3 linked regions of the Tribolium castaneum genome follow. The protein of the gene in region 3 purifies or fractionates together with the protein of the main gene of each other region. This does not show direct contact. Links are inferred from orthologs where the notes say so. Each region holds a gene or a part of one and is shown on either strand. Other genes may lie near its edges.

Region 1 (10,863 bases), about 11 Mb from region 3:
TAGTCTAGTACCTGAGGCAGGTCTGGGTCATGAAACGGGGAACGGGACGCCTGGGACTGCAAGGGGAGGGTCATTTGAGGGGTTTTTGCAACGATAGATACTTTATGAAAGCGTCGGGGGGCGCGATTTGGGGCAGTGTCGCGCTTGTCCCTGATGCCAGTTTGGAGTAACACAGTTTGCACACATTGAATTCGCCTGTGCCCTTGTTGGGGATTTTGCATTTTTGCTTCAGACATTTATTGCAAAAGGACAGTCCACAATTTGAACAGCCCATCTGAAAAAAAAATTGTTAACACTTTTAATACGCAATTTCACAACGGACGCACTTCCTTGTGGAAAAAATTAAATTTCGTATTGCAGTGATTACAAGACATAATAGAATTAAAGAGATTTTTTACAAATTTAGACTTTTGTGACAGCTGAATTGATTCGCTGCAAGTGGCTGAAGGCACGTCATGGAAAAATTTGATTTGCACCCATTTGCTGCAAAAAGCGACTTATTAAAGTGTATCATCAACAAGGTGACTCATTGCTCAGTTCCCGTATTTAAATTTACCTTGAACCAACGGTTTTGTAAATAAATTCTTTAATTTTGTTGACGCACTGTGGCTAAGGTGACGCTACAGAAAAAAATTTGACTTTCCCCCCAATATTTGAGAAAAACGCCCTTTTAAGTACTAAGTAATTAATTGTACAAAACCATGACATGATACTACATCAAGCTAGTAGTTTTTTGAATTAAATTGACCATTTCTTTGGTAGCCAAAATGGCTAGAGTGACGTCAGGAATACACTTTCCCCCATTTTTTAAACCACTTTCATGGACAAAATAATTATTAAGCGACGAAACGGTGAAGTAATTCCAATTGAATTAGTAATTCTTTAATTAATTAAAGGCTTTAATTGTTTTTGAAGTGGCTGAAGTAACACCACGAAAAAAAATCGTTTATTTCTTCACATATCGTCCAAATTTGTAAAAACTTGTCGTTACAGTTTATTTATTAAAAAAACGACCAATTACACGCGGTCGTGACGTAATTCAGCCCCAAATTAGCGATTTTTTAACAAAATTTTCAATAGCCTTGTTGTGAGCCATAGATGTCGCCACCAGTGACAGGTGACATATGACGTGGATCTTGAAATGTGTAACAAATGTAAAATGTTTTTTTAAACTTTTAAAATAAATTAAAATCAAGCATTTGACGCGTTTTTTGTGTTTGTGACCACTTGGCATAAGCCGTTCTGCGGTAAGTCTCAACAAAATCGTAAAATTCGCCCAAGTAACAAGGGGGCTGCTCAGATGGCCACCTACGAAGAATACATCCAGCAGAATGAGGACCGCGACGGCATCCGTTTCACTTGGAACGTGTGGCCGTCGAGTCGCATCGAAGCCACCCGTTTGGTGGTCCCCCTCGGTTGTCTCTACCAACCCATCAAGGAGCGCCAAGACCTGCCCCCCATCCAATACGACCCTGTCCTATGTACCCGTAACAACTGTCGTGCGATTCTGAACCCGCTGTGTCAAGTCGACTACCGGGCAAAGCTGTGGGTTTGCAATTTCTGTTTCCAACGGAATCCGGTAAAAAGATAATTTAAATTAAATATTTTTTTACATAAAAAATTAAAGTTTCCGCCTCAATATGCGGCCATTTCCGAGCAACACCAACCGGCCGAACTCATGCCAATGTTCTCCACCATTGAGTACACAATAACACGCGCCCAATGCCTGCCCCCCATCTACCTCCTAGTCGTCGATACGTGCATGGACGAGGAGGAGCTGGGGGCCCTTAAAGACTCGCTTCAGATGTCTTTGAGCCTTCTCCCGCCGACGGCCCTCATAGGGCTCATCACATTCGGGAAAATGGTCCAAGTTCACGAACTGGGCACTGAGGGCTGTAGCAAATCGTACGTTTTTCGGGGGACCAAAGACCTGACAGCTAAACAAATCCAGGAGATGCTCGGGATTGGGAAAGTGGCCGTGGCGCAGCCCCAGCGAGGGGCCCCGCAAGCCCCCATCCCGCCCGCCAGTCGGTTCCTCCAACCCATCTCAAAGTGCGATATGAGTCTGACTGATTTGATCGGGGAGCTGCAAAGAGACCCCTGGCCTGTGGGGCAAGGCAAGCGGCCCTTGAGATCAACAGGGGCGGCCTTGTCCATAGCAATAGGGCTCCTTGAGTGCACGTATGCCAATACGGGGGCCCGGGTTATGATGTTCCTAGGGGGGCCCTGCTCGCAAGGGCCGGGTCAGGTGGTTAACGACGATTTGAAACAACCAATCAGGTCGCATCATGATATTCAGAAAGATAACGCCAAGTATATGAAGAAGGCGATCAAGCATTATGAGGGGTTGGCTATGAGGGCTGCCACTAATGGGCATTGTGTTGATATTTATTCGTGTGCTTTGGACCAAACGGGGCTGATGGAGATGAAGCAGTGTTGCAATTCGACGGGGTAATTTTTTTGGGGGGTGTTTTTTGTAATGATTTTTGGGGTTTTAGGGGGCATATGGTTATGGGGGACTCGTTCAATTCGTCGCTTTTTAAACAAACGTTTCAGCGGGTTTTTGCAAGAGATGCCAAGAATGAGCTGAAAATGGCCTTCAATGCCACACTGGAAGTCAAGTGTTCAAGGGAACTCAAAGGTAAAGTGCAGGAAATCGACAAAAAACAATCGCAAATTTTTAAATTTTTTTATTTTCATAATTACGCAAAACTATTAGATGTAAAATGTAAAATGATCGATTGGCGTCAATAGTTTTTTAATTATATTTTTTTATTTTGCCTATTTCTACTTTTGTTTGCAATTTTCTCGAATTTATTAGAAAGTTGATTTATTTATTTTCTAGTGCAAGGAGGTATTGGCTCTTGTGTGTCCCTCAATGTGAAAAGTCCCCTCGTTTCGGACACTGAAATCGGAATGGGTAACACAGTCCAATGGAAAATGTGCACTTTGACGCCGAGTGCAACAATTGCCCTATTTTTCGAAGTGGTCAATCAACATTCGGCCCCCATACCGCAAGGAGGCCGTGGATGCATTCAGTTCATAACACAATATCAAGTAAATGATTCAATTGAAGGAAAGGAAATTATTAACAATTTTTTTCTTAGCATTCGAGCGGCCAGAGGCGCATTCGCGTTACAACCATCGCCCGAAATTGGGCCGATGCCACGGCCAACATCCACCACATCAGCGCCGGCTTTGACCAGGAAGCGGCGGCTGTTTTAATGGCCCGCATGGCCGTTTATCGAGCTGAAACCGACGAAAGCCCCGATGTGTTGCGATGGGTCGACCGTATGTTAATTCGTCTGGTAATACAACAGTTAAAAATTAATTAATCAAAATTTCGAACTTTATTATTTCTAGTGCCAAAAATTCGGCGAATACAACAAAGACGACCCTAACAGTTTCCGTTTGAGTGAAAACTTCAGTCTCTATCCCCAATTCATGTACCATTTGCGCCGCTCCCAATTCCTCCAAGTTTTCAACAACTCCCCAGACGAGACCTCGTTCTACCGCCACATGCTGATGCGGGAGGACCTCACCCAAAGTCTCATTATGATCCAGCCGATTTTATACAGTTATAGTTTCAACGGCCCCCCTGAACCCGTCCTCCTCGACACTAGTTCCATTCAACCCGATCGAATCCTTCTCATGGACACATTTTTCCAAATTTTGATTTTCCACGGTGAGACAATCGCCCAATGGAGGAACCTCAAGTACCAGGACATGCCAGAGTACGAGAATTTCCGGCAATTGTTACAAGCACCGGTGGATGACGCCCAGGAAATCCTCCAGACGAGGTTCCCCATGCCTAGGTACATCGACACGGAACAAGGGGGCTCCCAAGCCAGGTTTTTACTATCGAAAGTCAACCCGAGCCAAACACATAACAATATGTACGCGTACGGAGGGGTGAGTACCACTTTTGTGTGTTTTGTTTGTGTTTTAATTCTGTGTTTGGTGGATTTTAGGCGGTACCTGCGAGTGCGGTATTTATTTTTTTTATTTTTTGTGGGGTTAAAGGTGTAATTTTTGTAGTAGTATTTGTTACTAATCGGGTGGTTTTATCGCTTTCACTCGCTTCGCTTGCTTCAGACGTGTAACAAAATTTTGTGTTACAGGACGGCGGGGCCCCGGTTTTGACCGACGACGTCTCGTTGCAAGTGTTTATGGATCATTTGAAGAAACTGGCGGTCTCTTCAACGGCTTAAACTACTTTATTCTTATTTATTAAGTACAATAGTAACAAGAAAATATCTCTGGTTAAGTGTTACAATTATAATAAATATATTACACATACATTACACGCCTAGTTCAGGAAGCGAATGCTCATTTTTTGGGCGACATCCGTCCTTTGTAACGCATTACAAAACTCCTCGAATGAAATCATTTGGTCTCTGTCTTCATCAGCCTCCACGATAGTGCGCTCTGCAATACTGGTCAACTGTTCCTCGCTGATGTTGGCCCCCACCATCATGTGCAAGATCGCCAAAAGCTCCTCCTTTGAGATCATATCGTCGTTATCAAGGTCGTACATTTTGAAAGCGACTGGAAAAACTCAATAAAGCGTCACCCCTTGATTTTGATTCGCTTACATCTCAGCTTCTCCTCCCTCGAGTTCAGTTTATTCTCTTTGTTCTTCTTGATGGGTCTAAAGTGGGCCAAAACGCGCATAAACTGCCTGAAATTCACCCTATCGTTCAAGCCTTCCTCCTGGAAAAACGAATTGACGATTCTCTCGCCCAAAGGGTTGATTGCGAGCTCGGGAATTCGGAGGAAATCGTCGCGGCTCAAAGTGCCACAATCCCCACGGTCCAGGGACGTGAAACGGGAGTAGAGACGCTCGATTTGGTTGGGGGTGACTACATTTGCGGTTACAAGGAAACGAAACATGGGCGTACTCACATCCTGTTTCCTCCTGGATTTGGGCGATTTCCTCCTCACGGAGCAGCAGAGACGAGCGGTTACCCATTTTTACGAACTTTCACCAAAAACTGAACTTTGAATTATTGAAATGTCACTTTGACACTTGTAATGACAGTTGTTGTCACAACTGGCCAATCAAACGGCCGGATTTGTGTCACGTGGTTGACTGATTGTCAAAGTCAAGTGATTGAGGTTAGGGTCATTTTATTCATTAAAATTAATACAAATTTAGTTTTGTCGTAATTAAGACTCTGATGGTTTGGTCGAAGGCTGAGCACACCGACAGCCCGGCCTTCTCGGGGCACCAGTCAAAGCTCGTGATGGGCTGGTCGCTCAAAGTGCTGTTTTGCAGCAGAAGCAACTCCCCTGCCACCCCATATTCCAGCCCATCAGCGTCCTTTTCCACCCTCCGGTCCGGATAATTGCTACAAAGACCGTTGGTTTGAGTCGTAACAATTGACACACTCACTATTTCCACAAACAGAGCGATCCGGTGCCCCCCGTAGTCATGAAAATCTCCCGGTTTTGGGGCAAATGTTGGGCGCACCAGATGGTCGAATTGTGCGCCTTTTCGACCACTTGGGCGTACCCTTTAGTGGGGTGATGGGTGCGCACATCGAAACAGAAAATTTTCGACTCCAGAGTTGTGGCAACCAATTTGTTCATGGGAATGTCTTTGCGGTCGAATTGAAGCGAAACGATTCCGTTTTTGAGGCATTTGGACCATTTTACCGACATGTTCCGGAGGTCGTAGATTTTCAAATCGCCGTTATCGTAACCCGCTGCTACGACTCGTTCTTCGTTATTGTACGAGTTTCCGAAAGCTACGCTCCAACAATCGCGGCCTTGGGAGCCCTCGCTTTGGCAGAACTTGGCCACGGGGGTGTCTTTTTGCCGAATGTCCCACACCATGACAGCCCCTAAAAATGTTCGAGCAATGACTTTCAATAAAAAATTACAGTACCGTCTTTAGATCCGGTGGCTATTTCGGGGGCCCCGCACCCACTGGCAACCCCCGCAACTCCATCAATGGCGTTAATGACCCCGCGGTGCTTCTCCGTCTTATAAATCGGGATTAAATTCTCCTCCAAATCCCTACGAGACTTAAAAATTTTGGCCAACTTTTGGACGACTTACCAGACTTGTAACCGCCCGCTGAAGTCGCCAGTCGCAAGGTGGCGGTCTCTTAAACTCGAGGCGTGAAACGTGCCGCATTTAAAGTGGTCTTTCTTGCCGAATTCGGCCACTTTTTCGATCCCATCACCACTGATTGAGTAGGTCTCGATAATTCCAGCCCCGTTTGATTTGCCCCCGATTGAGACGAATTTCGCGGAACAGGGGATCCACTTGACGTCGTGGACGGTGTAGTTCAGGGCTTGCTGCACGTGGCAGATTATTTGGGGCCTTTGGAGCGACTCCATAACGTTTGATTGATCAAACAATTGTTGTCATAGCAAAGCGCATTTTCGGGGGCAATAATTGCCCAAGTTTAAATAAAACAAGCTGTTCTCGTTACGTTTTTAATTATTTTGTTTTTTTTTTTCACCCCCGTTATATCCTGCAATGTTCTTTATTTTTGCAGGAAATTAAGCCCTTCGTTAGGGCCTTCGACTGTAAAAAATCATGTTCGGACAAACAGCCATTGGGACCTTTTTTTACGGCTGTAAAAAAACAATTAGCAATACATTTAAGGATTGCTCTAATTAGTCAAATTATTAACTAATTTGTCCAGCAAATTAGGTTTAGAGCATTCTTGTCAGGAAAAAAGGAAACAGCTTCCAAAGCATTCGAAAAAAAGATTTTTAATTGCATTTTATTCGTAAGAAAGTGAGGTTAAAAATTTGACAACTTGCGCTCTAAATATGTCGTTTCAAATATAAACAGAGTAGTGATAAAAGTAATTATTTTGCTTCAATTCGGTGATTATGTAAGCGCAACAACACTATGATATGTTAGTGACCGTCAAAGTGTTGTTTTTCGCTAAATCGAGAGAAATCGTGGGCCAAAAATCCGCCGAACTTGACCTGCCGTCCCCCATCTCCTACAAAAAGCTTTTAGAAACACTCGTCGGCACGTATTTTTTGGCCGAAATTGCCCAAAACATTATTCTCTCCCTCAATGAGGAGTTTTGCGACGTGGAAAGTGTCGAAATTGTGTTAAAACAGGGCGACGAAGTAGCAATAATCCCACCTCTGAGTGGCGGTTAGGGCCCCAAAATGAATTTTTTGAAATTCACCGAAGACAAGCTAAGTGTTGAGGCGTTGACTGATCTAGTCGCCTCGCCGAAATGTGGCGCAGTCTCGGTTTTTATGGGGACCACCAGAGACAGTTTCGGGGAAAAAACCGTCCTTAAATTGGAGTACGAGGCGTACGAAGCCATGGCTTTGAAGTGTCTCGAAAAAGTGTGCGGGGAGATCAGGGCCAAGTGGCCTCAAGTCGAAAATATCGCAATCTATCACAGGTTTGAAAAATTTAAATTGGGGCCAAATTTTGATTTTTTTTTGTTTAACAGACTGGGGGTTGTGGGGGTCAAGGAGGCTAGCATTGTAATTGCAATCGCGTCCCCCCACCGTACCGAGGCGCTGCAAGCCACCGACTGGTGCATCAACAAGGTTAAAGAGAGTGTGCCTATTTGGAAAAAGGAGATTTACGCTGAAACTGAAACTCCTCCACAGTGGAAGGAAAATAAAGAATGTGGGTGGTCAAGTAAATAAAGTCTAAAATTGATTGGCTCTCATTTATAGCCCCCAAACCGAAAAAATTCAAGCTCGAAATCGAGCCCAAAGTCGAAATTCCCAACGTTTCGCCCCATTTGATTCAAATCAAGGCCTCAAACGCGGACTTGAGCAAACGAATCGAGAATTTTATGGAGATGAAGCGAAACGAAATCAACATAAGCAATGTGAGAGAGTTTTGCACAAGTAATCGAAGTTCAGAGTTCACTTGCGCCCGAGTCGATGCGGTTTTGCAAAAACGCAAAGACTCCAATGGCCATTTGCAAGGTTCGTGGCCCTTAAAAAATCACAATTTTACGATTTTTATTCCAATTTTTACAAGTCTGCTAAAAGTATACAACTGCACAGGGTTATTCTATTTGGCACCAGACATTTTTCATTAATGTTTAGAGAACACATTTTTATCTGAAAATAAAAAAATTAACGAAAAAATTAAGACTTTACGGACAGGACACAAATGTGCCGAGCATGACCTCCTTGATGTATGCAGACAACTTCGTTAAAAATAATACATCAAGGAGGCCATGGCGCCGAGTAAAAATTGACTGAAAAAAAAGAGCAAAGAAACTGCACGGTCAACACGAGAAATATATTTTTAACAGACTAACCCTCTATAAATTTAGCAAAAAATGTCGGGGAAAAGTGCTACTTTTCGGACGATTTTCGAAAAACAAGTATTTCAGACTAATTTTTTTGCAGTAAGTCGGGTTTTGAACACTTACCACCGCGACCAAACAAATTCGGACTACCTGACCAAATACATCCCCCAAAACGGCATTGAGGAGCGCCTCCAAAACCTGGAAATCCAACTCAGTTTGACCACCCCAACCCCGAAAAATATCTACACCCGTTTGAAGAAACTAGAAGACCGGATATTGTTCCTTGAAACGATTTCGCCCGAATATATCAATTTTTGGGTAAGCTTTTTGAGAGATTTCCCTCCCTTTTTAGTGAAATTTTTAGGACAAAAGCCACTTAAACAATAGATTTGTGAAGAAGAAGGTTTTCTCAGTTGAGGAAATCGATTCGCTAATTAGCGATTTGGAGCGGAAGGTTCAGGAGGAGAAAAAATAAATCTGTTTTTAGTTTATTATTATTATTAAAAAATAAATTACGTAAATATTGTCGGGTCGGTAAACCTGGCCGTGAAAATGTAAAAAAAAGCCGGCAGTGGGACCAACAGTAGCAACAATGAGTGAAAAGTCGGGTCACTAAGCTGAGTTATTGAAATTAAACCATAGGCGTGTAAACACCAATGGCCCACTAAGATTACCACATTTCTCGGGTCTACAACTGTTGTTATGATGAGTGAGGGAATCGATTGGTTGATTTTGAGGGCAAAGTGATAAGCACACGAAATAACTGACAAAATAACGACCAAAATTGGGAACGCATAATCTGGAACAAAACCAATCAAAAGTGTGATTTTTGGCGCAATCATTACGTACAAAGAAGTCCCCCAATTAGGGCATGGACCACCACCAAAATCGGTATATAGTACATGGCGGCATAAATCGACATTTTGCTCTGCCTTGGAAGGTATTTCCGGCAAACCCATGGCCTTATCAAAAGCATAACAATCAAAGTCAGGGCATAAAAAATAAAAACTAGCGTATACCTAAAACAAAAACACTCAATAAAGTAGTATAATCAATTAGTAGCCCTACAAGGGATACACAGCCTCCTGGGTACAATGCACCCTCTTCTCATAATCCGGGGCCGGATTATGCAACAAAGTGTACCAATCGGCCAAGCTGCGCACTCTGCAGTTCCGCACCTGGAACTCGCCGAACGGGTGCGTGAAAAGCACCGACAAGAGCCCCGAAATGACCACTTCCACCAGCGCAGTCAAGTGTAAAATTAGGACGTCTTTTTTGAAGCTACAACGAACAGTGAAGGTGTGACGGGCAATAGGGGGCTCACCTTCGTCGCATCGACACCATGTCGATGAAAAACCAGTGCAGAATCTGGACCAGGAGCACCATAAACCCCAAATAAAGCCAGTCGTAGAACGTGGGGCTGTCGGTGCACGGCTCGCAAATAAAAGTAGTGTCGTTGCGCCGGAAGCCCCGGGGGCACGACCCGCACTCGCTGAGACTGCCATTGGGGAGGTACTGGCGGCCGCAGTACCAGCCAGGACACGGAAGCATCTTAAAGAGGCATCGCGGAATGTAAGGTTAAGGCGGACTTGACAGGAGATTACAGCCGGCCAGTGGGGCATTTATTTATCAATGCGATAACAAGCGCGCCAATGGCACATTTTTAGGGTTTGGTTAATTAAATTTGGCTGATTTAATTATTTGGTGCAGTTGTGTTAGTTTCGTGCCGATCTGTTGATGGGTGACCAATGTTTGGTTGGTCCACTGTGATTTTTTCATTCTCTTCTTGACTCATTAAAATTACAAGTTTGGATTTATTTGTTTAAAAATGTGGTAAATTGGTATTTTTTTGTGTCATAAGGTAGATTTGTTGTTAAAACTGTTAAATACGACACATGCCTTAGATTTGGTTGATCAGGTGTGATTTATTGAGGCGTTTGTTTCATTGAGCTGCAAAAATGTATCGTTTTTTACACGTGGATGAATTAATAAAGTTTGTTTGATTTAATTGTGTTTTGATTTTTTCAAAGTTTGAATTAAACGGCATTTTCGATAAGATGGACGTCTGAAGTGGCGTGTGATTGGTCGGGTGGCACGAATACTCGATCATGATTGGTCGCGTCGGACTACTGGCGAGTCAATTGACGATCTGACTAGCGTAAAATTAATGAAAATAAGGTCCCGGGGGTTGTTTTGGCTATAGTATAATTCATTGCGTGAATTTTGCGTGCCCTAGGCTGGGTTTGGTGCGAGTCGGAGTGAATTGGTTGTGAAAACCAGTTGTGTTTTGGTGCGCGCAGTACCCCCCATCTATTTTCAGCCCTAGGTACTTACGGCATCGGTTCGTGCAAAAATCGCGTAAAAACCCGTCAATAGCGCTTAAACCCCCGGTGTTTGGTGGCCCCTTTGTGCAAAACCTAGTCTTTTGGGCGGCGTTCGCGATGTTGGTGTGTTCGCACCGCGCATGGATCGGCTGAACGCGAGTATTTTGTGTCAAAGCAACCAGCTGATGGCGGGTGAAAATACTGGACTCGCTTGGCAGTTGTTCGATTTTCCGCGTCTTTCCGCCGATTCCTGCTAACTGTTTGTGGTTGTGGTGCGCG
Region 2 (7,257 bases), on a different chromosome or scaffold from region 3:
GGTGACGGGGCGGCACCCAGCCGTAGTAACCCTCCGGCGGGGGGGCGTAGGCCGGGGGCGGAGCCGCATACCATTCGGTGTTGGGGGGGACGTACGGGGGAGGGGCGTCGTTGTTCATTCCTCGCGTCGCTAGAGAGAGCCACATTTGTGATCAATACTCGGGTAATTACACGTAATTACCCGAAATTAACCGTAATTACAATCATGGCCGACGAGAATATTCTCGAGTGTTTCGAACGTGAAAAATCAGTGAAAATTCCGACACACGTCAAGAATTTGCTATTATTCGCCGGTTTCGACAACAAAACCTCGCTGTCGAAATTCGAGAGTGAAGACATCGACGAATTGGTGAAAATCGGGCGGGAAATCATCCCACGTGTCATCGATCGCGTCCTCCATGAAAAATACTTGGGGATTTTCGCGACTGAACCGCAACTGTTTACGATATTTTCCGGTCATCGGAAAATCCTCCTCGAAATGGCACAATTTTATCGCAGCTTTTCATGGAAAAAACGTCACACGGGGGACACGTGTGAAGCACCGACGAAACGTCAAAAAACAGACGAACAACGCGATTTCGAAAGCGAAAAACAAAACATTCTAGCGCTCATTTCTAATTGGATAATAAACTTTTGCTCACGCAATCTGACCAATGAGGAGTCGGCTTACGTGACACGAGAAATGTCTAAAATGCGGGCCGAAATTTCAAGCGAAGATTCAAATCAGTGTTACATCACGTGCTGTATTTGTCTCAAAGACGTGAAAATTTTCAGAAATCAGAACGGATTCTGGATCATGTCCAACATTCACAAACACTTCAAGACGCACATGAGTACGATTTCTAACAAGAAATTCAGCAAAAATATCAGCATTTCCAGCACGATTGCGAACCAGGAGGCGGATTCACCAGAAATTAGAGAAATTAAGGTGGAAAACGACTCCGAATAATAAAATAATAATAATTCCTCACCTATTGTACCTATTTTTGTTAATTAAATGAAACTGAATAAAAAAATAACAGTGTAACACTTGTGTTTTCGCCCTGATTCGAAACGAAACTAGCCTTAAAACATTTTACCGGTAGTTTCACCTGTTACACCACCTAAATCGGCTAATTGAAACAATTTAACTCAATTATAATTAAATTTGCAATTTTTATTAAATAGTTGAGTATCGTTTCTATTTCCAGTTTGGTGTTTTTTTTGTTTGATTGAAATTCCTACAACTGGCACCACAAAATGCCAAGGTCACTCGATTGAAACGAAAAAAAACAATAACGTTGCTTAGCAACGCAACGGTCACGTGATGTTTTTATCATCGCCTACTTATTTATTGGGAGATTAAATTAAAGAAAAAGTTTAAATTTCGTTGCAAAATGTTGCACAACTCACCCAAATATGCGGCTTTGAGCATCGCCTGGCCAAAGTCGATGGCGCCCCCACGCTTGAAAGTGAATTTGAACTTGGCCTCGCCAATCCAGTTGCCGTTGGGCTGCGCCCTGACTTTGCCCTTGATGTAGTTGGCGCCAAAGACGGGTTGCTCGATCTCGACCTACAGCCCCCTTGTTACAAATGATGAGTGAAAGGGGGGCGAACGTACCTCACTCAGTGTTACAAACGGGAAACTGAAACTTTGCATGGGGTCGCTGCCGCTCTTGTTGTTGAAGACAAGTCGGTGGGTGGTTAGGTAGAAGCGGCCGGTTTTGGTGCCTTTGAATGTGGGGTCCCCCTGACCCGACCATTCGATGCTGACGTCGTCCGCGAACAGTAAAATCCTAACGATGCGTTAAAGGGGGCGAAACGTCTGGATAGAAGTTGCTTACCTCTCACCGGCGTGTATTAAAACACCGCCGTTTATATGAGCCGTGTTTAGAGACATTTCGCACGGTTTTGGTACTCACACAATGAAATTATTTGTTTTTCTAGAAAAATTTTCGATAACTCCCCGATTTTGACAAGTGACATTTGACGTGACGTTTGAAATGTCATCTGCCAGGCGAGAGAGAGAAAAGATAGGGGTAAAAACAAGTTAGAGAGAGAAAAAGACAATACTAAGGCGCCAAATTCAAATTTATTAATCACGACAATACAAAGCCCGAATTAGTCTTATTGTTAATCACGTTGTAGTAATAAAGATCAGTCACTGAAACCTCGCGATTTGGCACAACCCTGCAAACAAACCCATCAAAAAACGCCAAAAAAAGACCACAAAACCCACTTTTGCACCTTGGTGGGGCCCTTGATTTGGTTCCATCGCGACACCTTATGCCCATTATGTACCATCAAGCCCAAGACGGAGACCCAAATCGCATAGTCGAGAATATCATGTCGATCGACCAACTTTTCTAGAAATGTTTGACCCAAACTCAAATTCTCACTGCCTTGACTGGCATCCACCAAATCCCCAAAATATTTCAAGTAATTTTCGAACAAAAACCCTGTGAAAAGCCCAGGCTGTGTTGTGAATTCGTTGACCAATCGGTCAAAATCGCACGCAAGTCGGCCATTTTCGCCCAACTTCGGGTTCAAAACGCGGCCAAGGGCGTGAAAAAGGCCCAAATTTTCGTCACGTGACATTATTTGAATCGAAGTGGACGAATCACGTTTGCGTTTGGTGCCCGATTTTTGGGTTTGGATCGTTGGCAGGTCTGAAGTTCCTGGAATTTTTTTGTGAGACAGTTGGGGGATGGGGGGTGATTTTTTACCTAAAAGGGCGGCAAAATAATACTGATTTAGGGCGCATTTCAAGTCGCCCATGGCTGTGGAAATGATGGCAGTGACTGTACTTTGAGACGGAATTTTAAATAAATCGGGATTCCCCTGCACGAGGTTTTGGGCCCTTTTCAGGGCACTCTTCATCAAAGTTGGGGCGCAACCGTTGAAACTAATCGTCGCAATTTTATACTTAACCCTTACGTCCTCACTAAATAATTTCTCGCTTAGATTAATTTTATTATCGAAAGTGTCCGTACACACGAAAATAACCGGGTAATTCCCCTTGTAGTAACACTCCCTGGAACCAACCAAATTAATTATTTGGACCAAAAACTAGCTCAATTACTCTAAAACTGGCCCAAACTCGTCACAATTCCTCAAAAACGTGTTTGGAAACTCCTCAACTAAAATCACTTTTTTGTTGCCTGTGGAAAATAAAGAATTCCATTTGGATTCGGTCAAAAACTCAACGAACCGGGTCACTTGATTCGCCCCCCGACAAACCTCAAAATCCTGGTCTAGGGGGTTCACCCATTCAGTTATATCAATTGATAATTTTTTGCACAAAACCTGAATGGTGATTGATTTGCCCGACCCTGGGGGCCCCGAAATCAACAAGAATTTCGCATTCGGCTGAAATTCAACGTCACGTGATGATTCAAAAGGGCAATGACTTACAGAATTGTTTTTATTATCACAGACGTTGTTTTGTAACCAGTGCTCGACTTCGGCGATTTTTTTCGAATGAACGGCCAAGTCGGGCACCGTTTTCGGCGCCAGGCGTTGGTGAAAGTTAAAGCTGCGTTTTTTAGGCACTGGGGACAGGTCCGAAGTGCCGTTTTTCGAAGGGATTGCAGGTTTGGGGGGATGGCCATTCTGGGCCCCGTTTTCCAAGTCAAGCGACAAACCTAACCATTTCTGCAAAAATTATCACTCTGTTACCTTGTCTGCCCGTTTTTAGTTGTGCAAATACACACATTTCCCGTTTTTTTCATGATTTTATTCGAGATTGTTTGAAACTTGTTGACATTCGGATTGACAGTCAGTGGTGCCAGAACGTGACCAATTTCGATTTTAAACAATTAAAACACGTTTAAAAAAATATTTGGGCGCAATTTTCGGTTACAAAATTGGTGGTTGGCCAATTTCTTGAGCCGTATTCAATTAATCGCCCAAAATAATAAATTTTTTGAAAAAATAGTGTCAGTGCTTAGTGAATCAGTGTCGCCAACGCAAGATCTACACGACCGTGTCTATTTTGGGGTTAGGTTTGTTTCTCAAAAATTTCATTTTTTGGCCATAATGTCGGTGGAAGAGAAGCTCCAGATGGGCCCCAGAACGGGGGTGACGTACCCCTTGCAAGTGATCTACTGTGGCAACTGTTCGATGCCGATTGAGGTTAGTTGTCGCCCCTTCAGACCTTCCGAACTAATTCTTGCCCCAGTATTGCGAGTATTACCCCGAGTATGACAAATGCAAACAATGGCTCGAGCGTAACTTGCCCGATGAGTTCGAAAAAGTGAAAATCGGGGACGAGGCGGGCGAGGGAGGTGGCGCTGAAGAGGAAAAAAAGCGTCAGAAACGTGGGGGTAAAGGCATGATCAAGACGAAGAAGAAGGAGGACGGGCCGAAGCAGGTGTGTGTGTCGAGGGCCCCCCGCGGCAAGAAGAAGTCGGTTACCGTGGTTACGGGGCTTAGTGGGTTTGGTAGGGGGGTTAGGGGGCCCTGAGTGTCTTGTTTGACGCGTTTTTGTAGATATTGATCTGAAAGTTGCGGCGAAATTTTTCGGGACCAGGTTTGCGTGTGGGTCTTCAGTCACAGGTGAGGACGAAATTGTGATCCAGGGGGACGTCAAGGACGATTTGTTTGATGTGATTCCCGAAAAATGGCCAGAGGTACCACACTGACCGAAAAAAGTCACTAGTTATAGGGGCACTTGTTTTTGTTGCAGATTGATGAGGACTTGATTGAGGATTTGGGTGACCAAAAGCGATAACTTATCATAAATTCGTGTATTTATACTTATTCTCAATACATTATGTCGTTTTTCACGCCAGTGTTTTATTATTTACTATCCTAATACAATCACAAAATTATTCCTGCTCCTCTGTTGTTTCGTTTTCTTGGCTTTTTTGGATGTGGGGGAAGTGCTGAAGCACGATCTGTAAAATTTGCTCAACTTGTTCTTCCGTGAGCCTTTCTTCACTTTCTTCAATCATCTAGAAAACACACTTAGAAATAGTCAAATTTTGCGTAAGACCAACCAATTGAATCTCTAAAGCCGTCGTAGGGGGCGAATTAATCAGCATTAATTTCTCATTTTTGTTCAAATTAAACGGCTCCAAGTCCTTCAAACACTCAGTAATTGACTGTGGGCTTTGTTGGGCACAAGGAGTATTTTCCAAGTAACGCAAAGTCTACGAAAAAATTGATGAATGAAAGTCGGCCCATTTACGGCCACTTAATCTAATCACCTCATACGTAATCGTCGCTAATTGCCCCTTGTGTTTTTTCCGGCTGTCCTTAATCCGTTGTAGGTGTTTCATAACCTCGAAATTACTCAAAGTCGCGCTGTTTGCATTAACACTGAAAACACGCCTTAATAATACGTTACTCAAACGTAGCAACTTAGTCTTACATTTCCATCGCATTTAATAATAAAATTAAGAGTGCAAATTGCTTTATTTTTATAATTTTTGAACCACAAATTGGTGACAAATCCAAAAAACCCTAAACTTGTCACAAGTATGGCCAGGCTTCCTAACCTAGCTTTTTTGCGATATTTTTCAAAATACTCCTGTAAATTCGTAAGAGGTCTGATGACGACCCAATCGCGGTGCGAAAAGGCCTTGGACGAGCTTTCCAAAAATGCCTACTACGAGAAATACGCGGACAAAATCGCCAAACTACAAAAAACCTCCCCCCAGGAGTTCCTCTCCCGAATGGACGAACTCAAGAAGGCCAAAGCCCCGAAAAAGAAGCCCGAAACGATCACTGAAGGCAAGTTCTCGCAACTATTAAACCCGAAAAAACCGCTCGGTTCTGTGGAGGCCTCGGAGGCCCCCTTAGACAAAGTCATGAAACTTGACTTAATTAAGGATAAAACCCCGGAGGAAATTAAGGAGATTTGGCACCAGTACCACATACAGAAGAACTACATTGCGGCGGTTGTCCCTGTGGAAGATTACAACGAACTGGAGGCAAGGGGGCGCCAATACCCTACGTTTCTCTTCGCCTTGCCTCGCAAAGAGGGTTACGAGTTTATAATGTCGCAGTTTGAGCGAAACTGCGTCCACTTTACCCCCCTTTTGTACTATCAGGTGCACAAGGAGAACGCCCCCGAGTGCCTCACAATGACGCACTACACCGAACTAAAGGACGAGAAAAAAATCGTCTTGATGCGAGGAGAGTACGACAAGAATGTTATTGATTTGAAGGAGGCCCAGTGTCTCGCAAATCAGTTGCAATTGTATTACGTAAGGCCCACAGAAGCACACTTGGAACTGATGGAGCGGTTCACCAAGCGCCCCGACGAGTTCAAACACATGGACTTGATCAAACAAATCGAGACTTTGTCTTTGTAAATATGTATTATTTAATTCCTAATTGTAAATAAAGTTTGAGTGACATAACCTTACTTTTTGAGTTTTATTTCACCCAATTATTTTCTTGTCCCCAATGTTGATACATAAAGTCGATCATAACATAGCAAATGGCACTATGAGTATGAAATTGAGCGTTTTTTCTTGAATTTTACTGCGAAAATATGACATAACCTAATTTTTTGTTGGGCGAAAATTGGACCAATTTCAAATATTATGATAACTCAAAGGTCCTGTATAAAATGCGATTGTGCGAAATTGCCCAAATGATAGAAATTTTGCCGATTTTTATATTTTATTACCGCTTTTCACTATTTACGTACCAACCTACCAAATCCAAAATTTATCATAACTTGATTTTTTTAAATTTTTATCACTTATTTCACTATTTTCCAACACAAAAGTGCGTTATATTAACTTGAGTTACGTTAAAAAATCGAAAATAACAGTAAGGTGGTACAGTTCACGAACTACGGGTCTGTATTTTCTGACAGGCGTACCAACGCACCCAAATTCAAATCCAAATAAAACGCCATTTTACTTAAAATAATTTATTGAAATTAGGCACTTGATTGAGCTTAGAACCTCTCTTTCGGCTTCCTGAACACTTTCCCGTGCTGCGTATCCTCCAAGCAGGGGATTTGCACTAAATTAAAATAAATGGTCCCCATAATGTGCGCCGTGGGCGAGGGATTTTCCTTGAGACACGAATACAGCTGATCGTCGCACAAACAATGCGATTTCGTGTATAACGAATCATTCGTTATGTTATATCTTTGTGAAAAAGCCCTAACTTTAACGGGACACAAATCGTGCGCTCTGCAGCACTTATCAACGGTGGGCTCGGCCCCCAGGTCGTAGTAGTCCTTGGCGATGTCGCCCGTGCCGCACCACTTCGTCCCTGAAATTGACTGTGTTGGGAAAATTGGGTTGGTACGACT
Region 3 (11,428 bases):
GTCAACATAATTTTTTGAGTTTTTGTAACAAAATTTTCCAGAATAATCAAACAGTAATTACCTTTTGAGGCCCCGTTTTGAACACATTTTCGTACAAATTCTCGATCCTCGGCGACGTGGGAAAGCAGTAATCTTCAACCCCATTCTTCGATTCGCTCCCATCCTTGGCACTTGGCTTGGAGGCGTCCTCCTCCATCTCTAAAACTTTTTGGGGTAAGGTGTACTTAATTTCCGGTTGAGTGATATGATTCAGTGGCACTTTTTTGTGCAGAGTCCACGCATCGGACTCTGCCGTCCGTTCCGTGTAGCTCTCTGGCAAGAGTCCCGTCAGTCCCGTCAACCAGGAAGTGCCCTCGACCCAACCGTCGGGCGAATTGGCCAAGGCTTCGCTGCTTATGTAGACGTAATCGCCCGTGCGAAGATCCAATTCGTCACACTCGGTTGGTTGGTAGGGGTGAATCACCTGGAGTTTGATGATAAATTAAATTTAGTTGGAAGGATGAGCACAGGATGATTTCTTACTTTGTGGACTTGTTTACCGTTTACGCGGGGATCGCGGGAGTAGAGACGCAACTCCCAGCCGGCGGAGTCGCTAGGGTCGAGCTCGTCCACGAGGGATTTGAGGTGGGTGTAGTGGGTGCTGGGGAATTGGTACGCCAACGTCAAATGGAGCGATTTTACGTGGGGTTCAAGACTTATAGCTGCAAGAGTTCACGTGGGTTTAAAACACAATAATGAAATAGTCACATTTATAGACACTTTAATGTTTGTCAAGTAGCATCCATCCACAGATTATTAGCTATGTAAAGAAGAAAATATAAACACATATAAACAAAAGATACGAAAAGTGTGGGCACTATCTTGAGAAACACAGGACTTTGCTCTCTTTATTTGTTTAATGCTTGTATCTAATTGTTTTTGTAGTTATAGTCGCAAAGAAATAATCCCAGGAGTTAATTTATTTATTAAAAAAAATATTATCTGGGTAGCTGGTACGTAATTATTTGATTATCTTTTAAGACATAAACACAATAATTGCGAAATCCTGTTCGAAAAACCGTAGTCATACGGCCTTGATGTTTTTTTTAATCAAAATCTGTCTTTTAGACGGTCTTACAAATTAAGCGAAAGATTGAGCTTCCAATTTGTTATTTTCGGTACGTAAACGAGTCGTTTTTCCTTGTTTCGATCGATTTCGGGTAACATGCGAGGAAAATGTAATTACATAATGTAAAATACCCATTGTTTAAATCTTGCACTGAAAAGTTGTTACAAAAATCTGAAAAATTATCAGCCCGCGCTATGAATTAATTCAGGTTGCGACATTCGATTTAGATTATTTTTTAATTAGAAGTTAAAAGATTTCGTTAAATTATGTAATAAATATGGCAAACAGGCCCAAATCTATGATTATGATTAATGCCCTATTTCAGTTTCTTCGCTCATTGCTGTTACGCACGGCTGAATACTGAACGTTTATTTTTTTTAATTGATAATCTATTTTCTTATTTAAAACACCCAGCAGTGTGAACAAATCCAATTTTAAAAAACGCGCGTTTTTTTAAGTGTCCATGTCAACATTAATAACCCCAGAAACGAGAAGTATAACTTTTTAATGATTTTTTATTATAATGACAATCAATTCCATGACAACGAAAGTGTACCAATAAAAAAATAACCTAAAGTATTCGTGGATTTAAAACACTTCCTCTGTCGCGCGTGTTTTAAAGACCTCAGTATGCACTATAAAAACGCCAACGTCGCATTTTCTCTCAAAATTATCTATAATAAATTATTCATGCACTTCAAAAAAATAATAGATAACGTAATTTGCTCTTTCAATCAGAGATCTAATCATTAATAAATAATAACAATTTTACAATTTATCAATCTTATAAAAAATAATTTGGTAAAATGCGACGTTGACTTTTTTATAGTTTTGAAACAGCTTGCTTATACAGCGTTGGGTAAAAGTATGGAACTAAGCGTTTTGTGCCTAAATTATGTGCCTTACGAAGAAAACAATTAGTACATCAGCAAGTACCATAAAAATGTGATCATTTTTAAAATGGCACCCCACCACGGCGATTTTTTTGGTAAAAAACTATGGTCAAGAAATTACTTCAAATTCAATAATATTGTAATTAAACCAGTGGCTCTCGGAAAATAAATTTTATTTAAGTTGCATTCCGATCTCGATGCGAAGGTTTTTCAAACTTGGCCGAACGCAACTTTAATAACTTAAAAAAAAAACACGGGTTCAAAAACAAAATTATTGAATTAGAAGTAATTTTTAAAGCATAATCTTTTACCAAAAAAATGTCCGTAGTACGGTGCCATTTGAAAAAACATTGTTTTTTAAATAACTGGAAAACTGATTTAAAAAAAAAAAAAAAAGTCTAGGGGTCCAGCCCCCCCCTCCAACTTTTATTTGTTTTTTTTGTAAATACAATAAAAGACTAATGAACAAAAGTTTTTAAAAAATAACATTAACATTTATTAATAAATTAATAAATAAACTATTACCTGTGCTATTACTTAATAAAATACAATAAAATAAAATGAAATGTAAAACAAGAAAATTTTATTTTATGTTTAGTTCTTTTTACGTGCAGAAATTTTTATTACTTAAACAACTGTAATTAAACATTCCCTGTTGTATTATGATGATAACAACACCTATATCCAAAAATGCACAAAATATAGGGTGTTTTATTTAAAAACATATAAGACTGCATTATAAAATTTTTTGGATAAAAATTTTTGGGGCTTCATTTTTTGCAAATTTATTTAAATATTTTAACATACCGATAGTAAAAGTTTCATTCAATAGCTTAACCTTCACATGTCTAAAAATTTTTGGAAGCCCCCCCACCCCAAAAAAAAATTATTTCAGGATCCGCCACTAATCGCAAAGGAGGTAATGCCATTTAAAATTTATAGAAATTGTTTTTATTATTATAAAGGGGGTCGGTGCAACAACTTTCAAAACTACACTAAAAGAAGTAAAAGGTGCCTCCTGTAAATAAAAATTGACCTATTTATATCTAAATTTTTTTCTTTTTTTCTGAGATCTTCTACGTGGCTCGTTGATAAAAAATAATCCTGGATTTAAGAGTATTTAAGTATTTAAGAGTACGCGTTGATTTTTCGTGTAATTATTAGCTTATGATACACAGCAAAAATATTTTTATAAGATTCACCTTGCATGTAACATTAAAATTTATCTTTTGTTTTATGATGATGAATTAAAGAAAAAACGCAAAAAGTGTCTTCTATGTGTTTATTGTTTCGTACTACGTATCTTTCTTATTTCTTATCGAGAATCTTGTTAAGATGATGCAAGAAATCCAAAAATCAAGTTCTAATCGTTTTGTTTCAGCTTATTTTTAACGAAAACCCGCCTTATTATTTCAATGAATTCGTTAACTCATTTCTTTTTTCCTTTACTATTTTTTTACCGTAACTGAAAGTATAATTTATGAAAACACAGATTAAATTGAAAATTAGTATCAAAATAGAAAATAATAATAATTAATTATCAAACTTTATTGATGTATTTTCCTTAAATTTCTGTTGCTTTTCGTACATAATACAGTACATATTAAAAGAGATCAGATCCATCGTCAAAGTATAATGTATATGTTTTTTAAAAATGTTTTTGTAGATTTTTGCTAACAAAGTAGTTTTTTGGAGAAAAATTGCTAAGAACATAATGAGGCCAATTTCACAATTACTACTAAGATGAAATTTTAAGCAGATTCACCTTGTCCGCATAAGGAAAATATAAAAGTATTTGCTTTAAATCAAGATTAATCACTAGCAAGTTTGTCTAAAATTCTTGAATTGAAAACATACTCGTAATGACAATGCACAATAATCGTACTTACTTTTGGTCTAATCACAGGTTTATTCCATAAATGGAAAAAATATAAGACACTTTTTCCAAAGGTTTTATCGGTAAGGACTGGTAAATATTTTGCCACCGCCTGACGGACTTATAAAGCTCTTATAAAACCAAGGAATAAACAAACACATTCCGCAACATATTTTTCAATATCGGTCATTAACTACTGTCACATTTTATCAAATGTGCAATAAAAGGTGAACTTTCCTGCAGATGACTTTTACTTTGTATAAAGACTCAAACCACTAATGGTGGCTGTATTTCTCTTTCAGACACTTCAAAAACAAAAGACAAAAGGTAACTAATTCACATGTTAGGATAATGATAGGTAAGAGAATATAAAACTGTTAGTAAACCAGCAACTTCAGTAAAAGGATAAATAAATGTTAGTAACAAAAGGAAAAGCAAAGTAAAAATTCAAACTTTTAATAGAAAATAAATACAAAAAAATGATAATTATCTAGAGGAAACTACACTAAACTACAATTTGCTTACATCTACTTCCCCGAGGAATGCAACGAGCAGTTGTTGTGGTACACCACGGAAAACAGGCTGTTAGAGCATCGAAATGTTCGTATGTGTCACTAATAACTGCAAATAACCACCACCTTTAGCCAGATTGTCATGCTAGTATTAAGAACAACTACAAGTAATTTGATTACCATGCAAGCATGTGTCGTTATCAATTTATTTACAATGTTGAGAAAACATGATTAGTAATAATAAGGACCAATCATTATCTAAATATTTTTCTGGTAATCAAAAACCAACAAAGTTACAAACATGCCCATCTACTGGTTTATAGAAAAATCGACTTACTAGCATTTGAAACTTCTTTAACATATTGCATGGCAATCCTTTTTAAATAATCAGCGTGCTCCTCCGCCACAAAAAACCCCATAAAATTTGGAGAAGTATACGTTTCTAGTTTTAGGGGCTCGTTCAACATAGCGCCCTGCCTTTCCATTACGGACTTTAGGCTTTGCGCCAGATGTAGGGCGTCTTCATCAGGCGCCTGTTACACATCATTAAACGAATTCAAAATTTATCAAATGAAATACCTTAAAAAACGAAACTAGCGTAATGTGCGGCGTGAAATTGTGGGCCCCGTTCCAGGCGCATTCCCTGTGCGACTTCTCCCAGAAGGTCTGTAACTGTTCCAGGAAAGGTCCCGTGGGACACGCATATAAAATGTACTCCCTTGGAGAGTTATCGTCCAGCAATGGGTCATTTACGTGGGCCAGTAACCAGTCGGAGGCCAACTGCACGCCCCTGTTACCAGTGGCAGCTAAGGCCTTTTCGCTGTGTGTAATTTCAAGTTACCCGAAAGTTTATTATCATTTTGTTTACTCACGCTCTGTGTTTGGGGAACCCCATCTGGAGGAGGATTTGTAGCGGGGTCAGGTGCTGTTTGGATATTTTTGTAGGTGTGGGGTTCCTCCTAGGGGGTAGTGTTGCCATTTTCATTTAATAAATTATTAATTTCAACTAGGTTAAAGTTTGGTGTTGACACTTCTAGTGGACCTTTGACATTTAAACAGTGACGTTTTTGTTTTGGTTTTGTTTGGGGAATTGGCCTTTCAGATGGCGGCACTGGTTGGAACACTGTCAAGTGTTGATGTCTGTCAAAATTTGCCCATTTTCATAAGAAAGTATTAAAGTGTGTTAATTTTTTATTATTTACACGTTATTCGACGATGGCAGGTGTCCTGTTTGAAGATATATTCAACGTGAAAGATATTGATCCTGAGGGAAAGAAATTTGATCGAGGTAAGTGGCTTTTATCGTCTGTTTGTTTGGATGTGTGACCGGCGTTTTTGAGGTTATGTTTTAACGTTTCGTAAAATTGCTCGAAATTGTGTTAAATTTTGAATGTATTTAAAGTTTACATCTTGTCTCATTTACCTCTGAATTTGGAAAGCGTGTGTATGTGGTTATTAATACGATAATACCGTCCTACTCTAAATATTGGTTATACCCCCCCACCTGTGTCCTAGTTGTGGCATCGATTGGTCTTTTTTAATGCATTAAGAATAAAACCAATAAAAACAGGCAGATAGAATAGATTTTTTTTGGTTAGAATTAATTACTTGAAGGACTTATATTAATAGAATTATGCAAAATTAGTCTTACAAAATTTTACTTTTATACTAATAATTTTTTAACGTATTAATTTTTGTTTAATACTTGTGTGGTTTGTAGGTGGTGTGTATGGGTGACATGGGCCGGCCCCCATTTTTGTTAAAACTGTTCGCTGTTTGAATCATTTGTGAAGACTGATGAATTACATGAATTAATTGTAATACAAAAAGCAATAAAATACATATTAAGAAACACGTAGGGGTTTAGAGCATTCTAGCTGGGATAATAAATGGATATATTAATTACACTAGTTTACAATTTTTTTTCTTTTACTAAGAAATCATTTCTACTAGGTAATTTTGTTTTCTACTTACTCACTGATAACAAAAATATACAGGCTATTTGGCAACACAGTATTAAAAAAACATTTAGGGTGTATCAAAATTGGCGAATTCCGAGTTCTGAGCACTGTAGAGAATTGCTTTAGTAGTCCAAACATCGAAAAGAGTTATTAATAATACGGGAGCAAAAACAAAAACTTAAAGTTCGAGAACTTTAAAAGCGTTTTCGCATGAGTGTTATTAAATTTTTTTTTTTGGAATATTTGAACTTAAATGAAAACACGTTGCTATGGGAAAAGCGTTTTAAAATAGTGTTTAAAATCTAGGATTCAGATATTAAAAAGAAGGCTTCAAATGTTACCAACAAAAAAATATTCGGGGCTGCCTCACAAAGATACATTGGTTTGAAGATTACTCTTTGAACTGCGTTTTTTTTAATTCAGCCTATATGTTTCAGTGTTTATTCTTATTTGTGGTGACGATGATTGTGAAGAATAATAACTGTGAACGATTTCTCAAAAAACTAGCTTTATTATTTTATATTTATATTTATTTTTTTATATTATTTTGGAGTTTTTAAAATCTTAATTTTTTTAATTTGCCGTTTTGTTTTTAAGAAAAATTACAAAAATTTAAATTTTTTACTCTAAAATGAAGCTGATTTTTTGAAATATTGTTTTACATTATTATCTTCCACAATCATCTACATCATAAGTAATAAAAATGAAAATAATGAAAAATTTTTAGCCTTCATTTGAAGAAAACGCAATTCAAAGTGAGCTGACGTGCACCTTCAAACCACTGTATCCTTGTGGGGAAGTTCCGAATCTTTATTTTGTTTTTACATTTAGTCTAGTGAAGTGATTCTTTACAACGCTCTGACCTCGGAATTTGTCAATTTTGAAACATCCTGTATGTTACATTTTTCTATCACATCTAGTTTTTTTTTAATGTTCACTAAAAGTTTTGAAAATTGGTTTCTGGTGTCTAATTTAGCATCCGTTGTTTCTGTGATGAACTAATTGTTAAACATTTTATTTGCTTTAAAATATCATTAAGTGAATGTATTAGACTTACCGATACGCATTGGTTTCATCTATTGGCAAAAAACGTTGTAAACTAGTGTTATTAGGAACTGAAATGAATAAAGAGAAGAAATACAAAGTAAAAAATTAAACCGACGTTTAGAAATATTACACTTCGAATTTTCCAAGTTAATACATTTTATTAAGTACTCCTACACATTTCAAAATGATAAAAATGCGATTTATTTTTGTTTCTATCATATTGAAATTAAATTGTTAAAAAGAAAAAGAAAATCAGTTGTTCCAGTAAAAATTAGTTAAAAATATTACAGGTAATAACACTGTAACAAAAAGTGAAAATTTTTGTTTTTATTCTGTATTATTACTATTATTAGTGTTTATTGAAAGCATAGGTCTTTTTGAATAAATTTTTGGTCACAATTTATTTTTAGTGTCGGTCTGCGAAAAAAAAGTGGGGGTTGACAATTTTTGATTTTACTCAAATTTAATAAGATGTTGTGATGTTATCCATGAAAAAGATTAATAATTAGCCACAAAACAACTTGTAACTTGATTAAATGTAACGAAAAGAACACAAATTAGTTATTAATAACAGAAAATTTGGTGGCACAACGCCAGTGGTCCTAAATTATGTTTAAAAAATCTAGTCATACATGCCTGCTTACTGGATGGTTCTAACAGGTGAAAAATGGGGTCTTCACTGTTCAATGTTATAACGAAATATGTCCAATTTTTGTCATTTTGAGAAAAATATAGAAACGTATGCTATAAAGTCCCTCTCTTTCAAATGCAATAATTGTTTTTGCAATAGAGTGGTTTATTTAGATGTTATTAAACAATTTTGTTATAACACCGAAAATTTGTGAACATTTGTTCAGCAGAATAATGAGATAAGTCAGTCAATCGTTTTCTCTCTATAAGTCTACAAATTACTATTAAATGTAAAGTAATATAAAAAACTATAAATTACATCTGACCTTTCATTTTGTGTGTTTTCTATAAATTTAAAGACAGTATTTTTAAAGGAGTGGTTTTTATTAAACAAAAACATTAAAATAGTGGTTCGTTCTAGCTCTTGGGGTTAAAGGTATTTCCATTTAAAAACAACAACTCAAAAAAATGTATATGTTTATATCACTCATAGAGACTACTGTAAAAATTTCATTAATTTATTGACCTCTTCCTGGTGGACGACGTATAAAAAAATAATGGTATATGAAAGAACAAGTTTCATACATAAGACCAGTCGTAAAGCACGAATTTAGTTTTTTTAGCCTTTTTTTGTCGTTTTTATACAAAAATTGTTATTAGGGATTTTTGGGACAGTTGGTAATGTCTCAATTTTGAAAGTGAAAAATTGATTTAAAATTTTTGTTTTATCAAAATTTTGTCAAAAAACAACAAAACAACTAAACTCAAAACTGGTCTAAGTGGATTTATTTCGTTATAGTACTGAACACTAAATAATTTGCTATATTTGAAGAACCGGTTTATAGAAGTCATTAATTTAATTCGCAATTAAATGCGTGATTAACTGATCACATGACCAAATTGAACAAATGTGATTGGTTCATTCGCGTTGTTAACTTTCAACAACGAATTAAATTTTCACAAAGCTTTCTATAAACCGGACCTTAAGGAATTAAAAGTGCCTTGTATGTAATTTGCAGTACTGGTAAAATAAACTTTTGTGTTACACAGTTTAATAAATTCTAGTTATAAATAAGCTATAGGTTATAGCATTTTTTGTCCTTAGTTGTAATTAATGCTTATCATTTACAATGATATAAAATACTTGTACGTTCGCAGAATGGAAAGGTGTGATATTTATTAAGTTTTAGATAGTGATGTTTAGAAATGACGGAAAGATTTAGAACAAGAGATAGTAAGAAAAGTGTAATAGAGGAAACGCAAAATCTAGTGTAGCAATGTTCTTTTATTCTTTTAAAATTATGGGAAATAAGTAATGAAATTTTAAAAATTGACCTGACACACAATGGTGAACTGGTTCATGGTATGGAAACTTGTATGGAAAACATGTTATTCTTGTAAAACGTTATTTGAATAAAACATGACAATATTCACGGAAATGCTGAACAATTAATTCCCGTAAAGATGTTAAATTAGAGAATTGTATTTTTTGTTAAGACTACCTGTTGGTAAACATAAAATAGGTTCTACATCTGTTAGGCTCAGCTAAATACACAAACAACATATTTATGTATGCATTCTATTTTTTATAACGGAAAATAATATAATTATGAGTTGCTGATCCGTTGTAACACATTTTAACTAAAAACACGTACAAACGTGGCTTTGAAACGCGTGAATAAAAAGTCGTCATTTATTTTAACGATTTTTCTAAATTGGTTGGTTATAAACCTATTAAGGAACTTCAGATAAAAATGTGGGCACATTTTTAAATTTGTTTGAATTAGTTTGGTGCTCATTTACGTTTGTGGTTAAATGTTAAATGTATTTATATTGATTGTTCAATATGTAACCAAGTTCAGGTTTTCACGGACCTGTCATCATTCTTTAATTGTCTGATGGGGGCCGGGATTAATGCAATTTTGAAGTGATAATTTTTACAATACTTTTTTTGGATTTAAGTGACACTTTTCTAAGGAGAAGGTTTCCGTCCTATGGAAATTTAATGACCACTCAAATTCAAATTTGGATCAATTGATAGCTCTCGTGATAAGGAACAATTCGTATCATTGCGCCAACCTGTAACTTTTGAAATAAAGGCGGAATAAAAATTAAAAAATTATTTGATCAACATTTTGAAACGTGGGACTTTGGGTAACGCGATAACATTATTTTCGTTGTAAATTCAGGTATTCTTGGTAAAAATTACGAAATTGATGTCGTTCTTCCTTTGACAAAAAAATGTAAAATCCCATTTAGCTTCATGAAATGTACTGAAATGGACATGTGCGATTTCTTTATCTTGAACTCTATTTGTCATCTCGAAAAGATTCCTTATTAGGTTCTCAGTTTCTTTCTGTGTCCGTTGTGTCGGTAAATATAGCATGAGATGAATGAGGAGGCCGCTTATCTGTATCACAAAGGCAACATGGAGGTAACTGAGAACATGTTGAAACCGGACGTTTTCCTGTTTTGTCGTGAGATGGTGAAAATCGGGTGTAGGGGTGAACGGTGACCTAGACCCGGTAACCTTGACCGTCACCACAGATACAGCTGGATCGATCGTATGTTTTACGACGACGCGCATGTCCTTCGTTCGTTCTCTCCTGCTTTGAAAACCGCGACCTGCATCTCCCCGTTCCTGCTGCTGCTGCTGTACTCAGAAATGAGAAGCAGCCATGCACCGCCTTCACTCCCAGACCCCACTAATGAACATTGTATTATGAGGATCGCCATGTCAATAACAGAATCAACTTGCTTTGCTATCAATGAAATGAAAGAGGTCGTTATGAAAGAAGTCATTTATTTGCACTATTATTACTGCAATTCTTTATTAGGAATTACGGACAAAAATAAACATCTCTGATTGCTGAATATCATCAAGGACTTATTTTAAGAATCAGGATTGCTGCACATTTATCTACTCAAAGCAAATTCTTGATAGCTACACCAGTCCACCCACTAGGTTACATTCTGAGGATGACACTAATTTACAACATCAACATTTTTAACTAGACACACCTAGATGCATCGTAGAATAATTCGCCCTAAGTTTGATACTGAAGTCGAAAAAAATTGGAACGTCAAGTTTTTTAAATACTACCTATTTATTAGAAATTATCAGTATTTGATAATTTTTGCAAAATCGAAAGTGTCACAGACCGCTTTTTCTTTGTACTATCCATGTTAGTGTAAGTCTTGATGGAAACGTTCACCATGTTTATCGCTTTTAAGCTTCGTAGGATAATTTTACCACAAACATTGTAAAAGTTGTTTGGGCTCACTTTACATTCATTTTAGGACATTTTAAGGCAAACAATTTTTTAACAACTTTCCAGTACAGCAGTCTTTTCAACAAATCTAATAAATATATTTAAAAATTGATTCTCCTTTATTTTCTA

Evidence for each region.
Region 1: the proteins of Polr2H (region 3) and Wdr92 purify together in Homo sapiens (affinity purification with mass spectrometry; 3 studies listed by BioGRID and IntAct, with this or other methods). This does not show direct contact. The link is inferred for Tribolium castaneum from reciprocal best matches to the Homo sapiens genes POLR2H and DNAAF10.
Region 2: the proteins of Polr2H (region 3) and Polr3I purify together in Homo sapiens (affinity purification with mass spectrometry; 3 studies listed by BioGRID and IntAct, with this or other methods). This does not show direct contact. The link is inferred for Tribolium castaneum from reciprocal best matches to the Homo sapiens genes POLR2H and CRCP.

The regions. Positions count from the first base shown.
Region 1 is NC_087396.1:21,499,916-21,510,778, forward strand, and holds Wdr92 (dynein axonemal assembly factor 10), read right to left. Parts: upstream 6,348-10,863; coding exon 6,064-6,347; intron 6,022-6,063; coding exon 5,891-6,021; intron 5,847-5,890; coding exon 5,396-5,846; intron 5,352-5,395; coding exon 5,144-5,351; 3' UTR 5,114-5,143; downstream 1-5,113. Other genes in the region: abscission/NoCut checkpoint regulator, read right to left, coding at 12-56, 102-274, 327-374; Sec23 (protein transport protein Sec23A), read left to right, coding at 1,301-1,579, 1,628-2,451, 2,499-2,641, 2,846-3,057, 3,108-3,308, 3,364-3,912, 3,972-3,989, 4,122-4,211; elm (calcineurin B homologous protein 1), read right to left, coding at 4,310-4,548, 4,596-4,862, 4,906-4,972; Mocs2A (molybdopterin synthase sulfur carrier subunit), read left to right, coding at 6,876-7,133; Mocs2B (molybdopterin synthase catalytic subunit), read left to right, coding at 7,143-7,387, 7,439-7,620, 7,671-7,928, 8,361-8,578, 8,625-8,735; JNK1/MAPK8-associated membrane protein, read right to left, coding at 8,773-9,059, 9,110-9,279, 9,329-9,541, 9,585-9,811. UniProt on the Homo sapiens protein: Key assembly factor specifically required for the stability of axonemal dynein heavy chains in cytoplasm.
Region 2 is NC_087399.1:3,366,580-3,373,836, reverse strand, and holds Polr3I (DNA-directed RNA polymerase III subunit RPC9), read right to left. Parts: upstream 5,462-7,257; 5' UTR 5,361-5,461; coding exon 5,353-5,360; intron 5,301-5,352; coding exon 5,189-5,300; intron 5,132-5,188; coding exon 4,979-5,131; intron 4,934-4,978; coding exon 4,808-4,933; 3' UTR 4,712-4,807; downstream 1-4,711. Other genes in the region: Wbp2 (WW domain-binding protein 2), read right to left, coding at 1-129, 1,392-1,551, 1,600-1,774, 1,823-1,878; cell cycle checkpoint protein RAD17, read right to left, coding at 2,078-2,168, 2,218-2,656, 2,705-3,012, 3,061-3,347, 3,393-3,632, 3,692-3,709; DENR (density-regulated protein homolog), read left to right, coding at 4,017-4,112, 4,159-4,420, 4,470-4,609, 4,666-4,710; ATP synthase mitochondrial F1 complex assembly factor 1, read left to right, coding at 5,462-6,298. UniProt on the Homo sapiens protein: DNA-dependent RNA polymerase catalyzes the transcription of DNA into RNA using the four ribonucleoside triphosphates as substrates.
Region 3 is NC_087396.1:10,329,670-10,341,097, reverse strand, and holds the start of Polr2H (DNA-directed RNA polymerases I, II, and III subunit RPABC3), read left to right. Parts: upstream 1-5,541; 5' UTR 5,542-5,604; coding exon 5,605-5,677; intron 5,678-11,428. Other genes in the region: Epp (ecdysteroid-phosphate phosphatase), read right to left, coding at 62-463, 523-701, 4,403-4,498, 4,727-4,922, 4,969-5,209, 5,262-5,374. UniProt on the Homo sapiens protein: DNA-dependent RNA polymerase catalyzes the transcription of DNA into RNA using the four ribonucleoside triphosphates as substrates.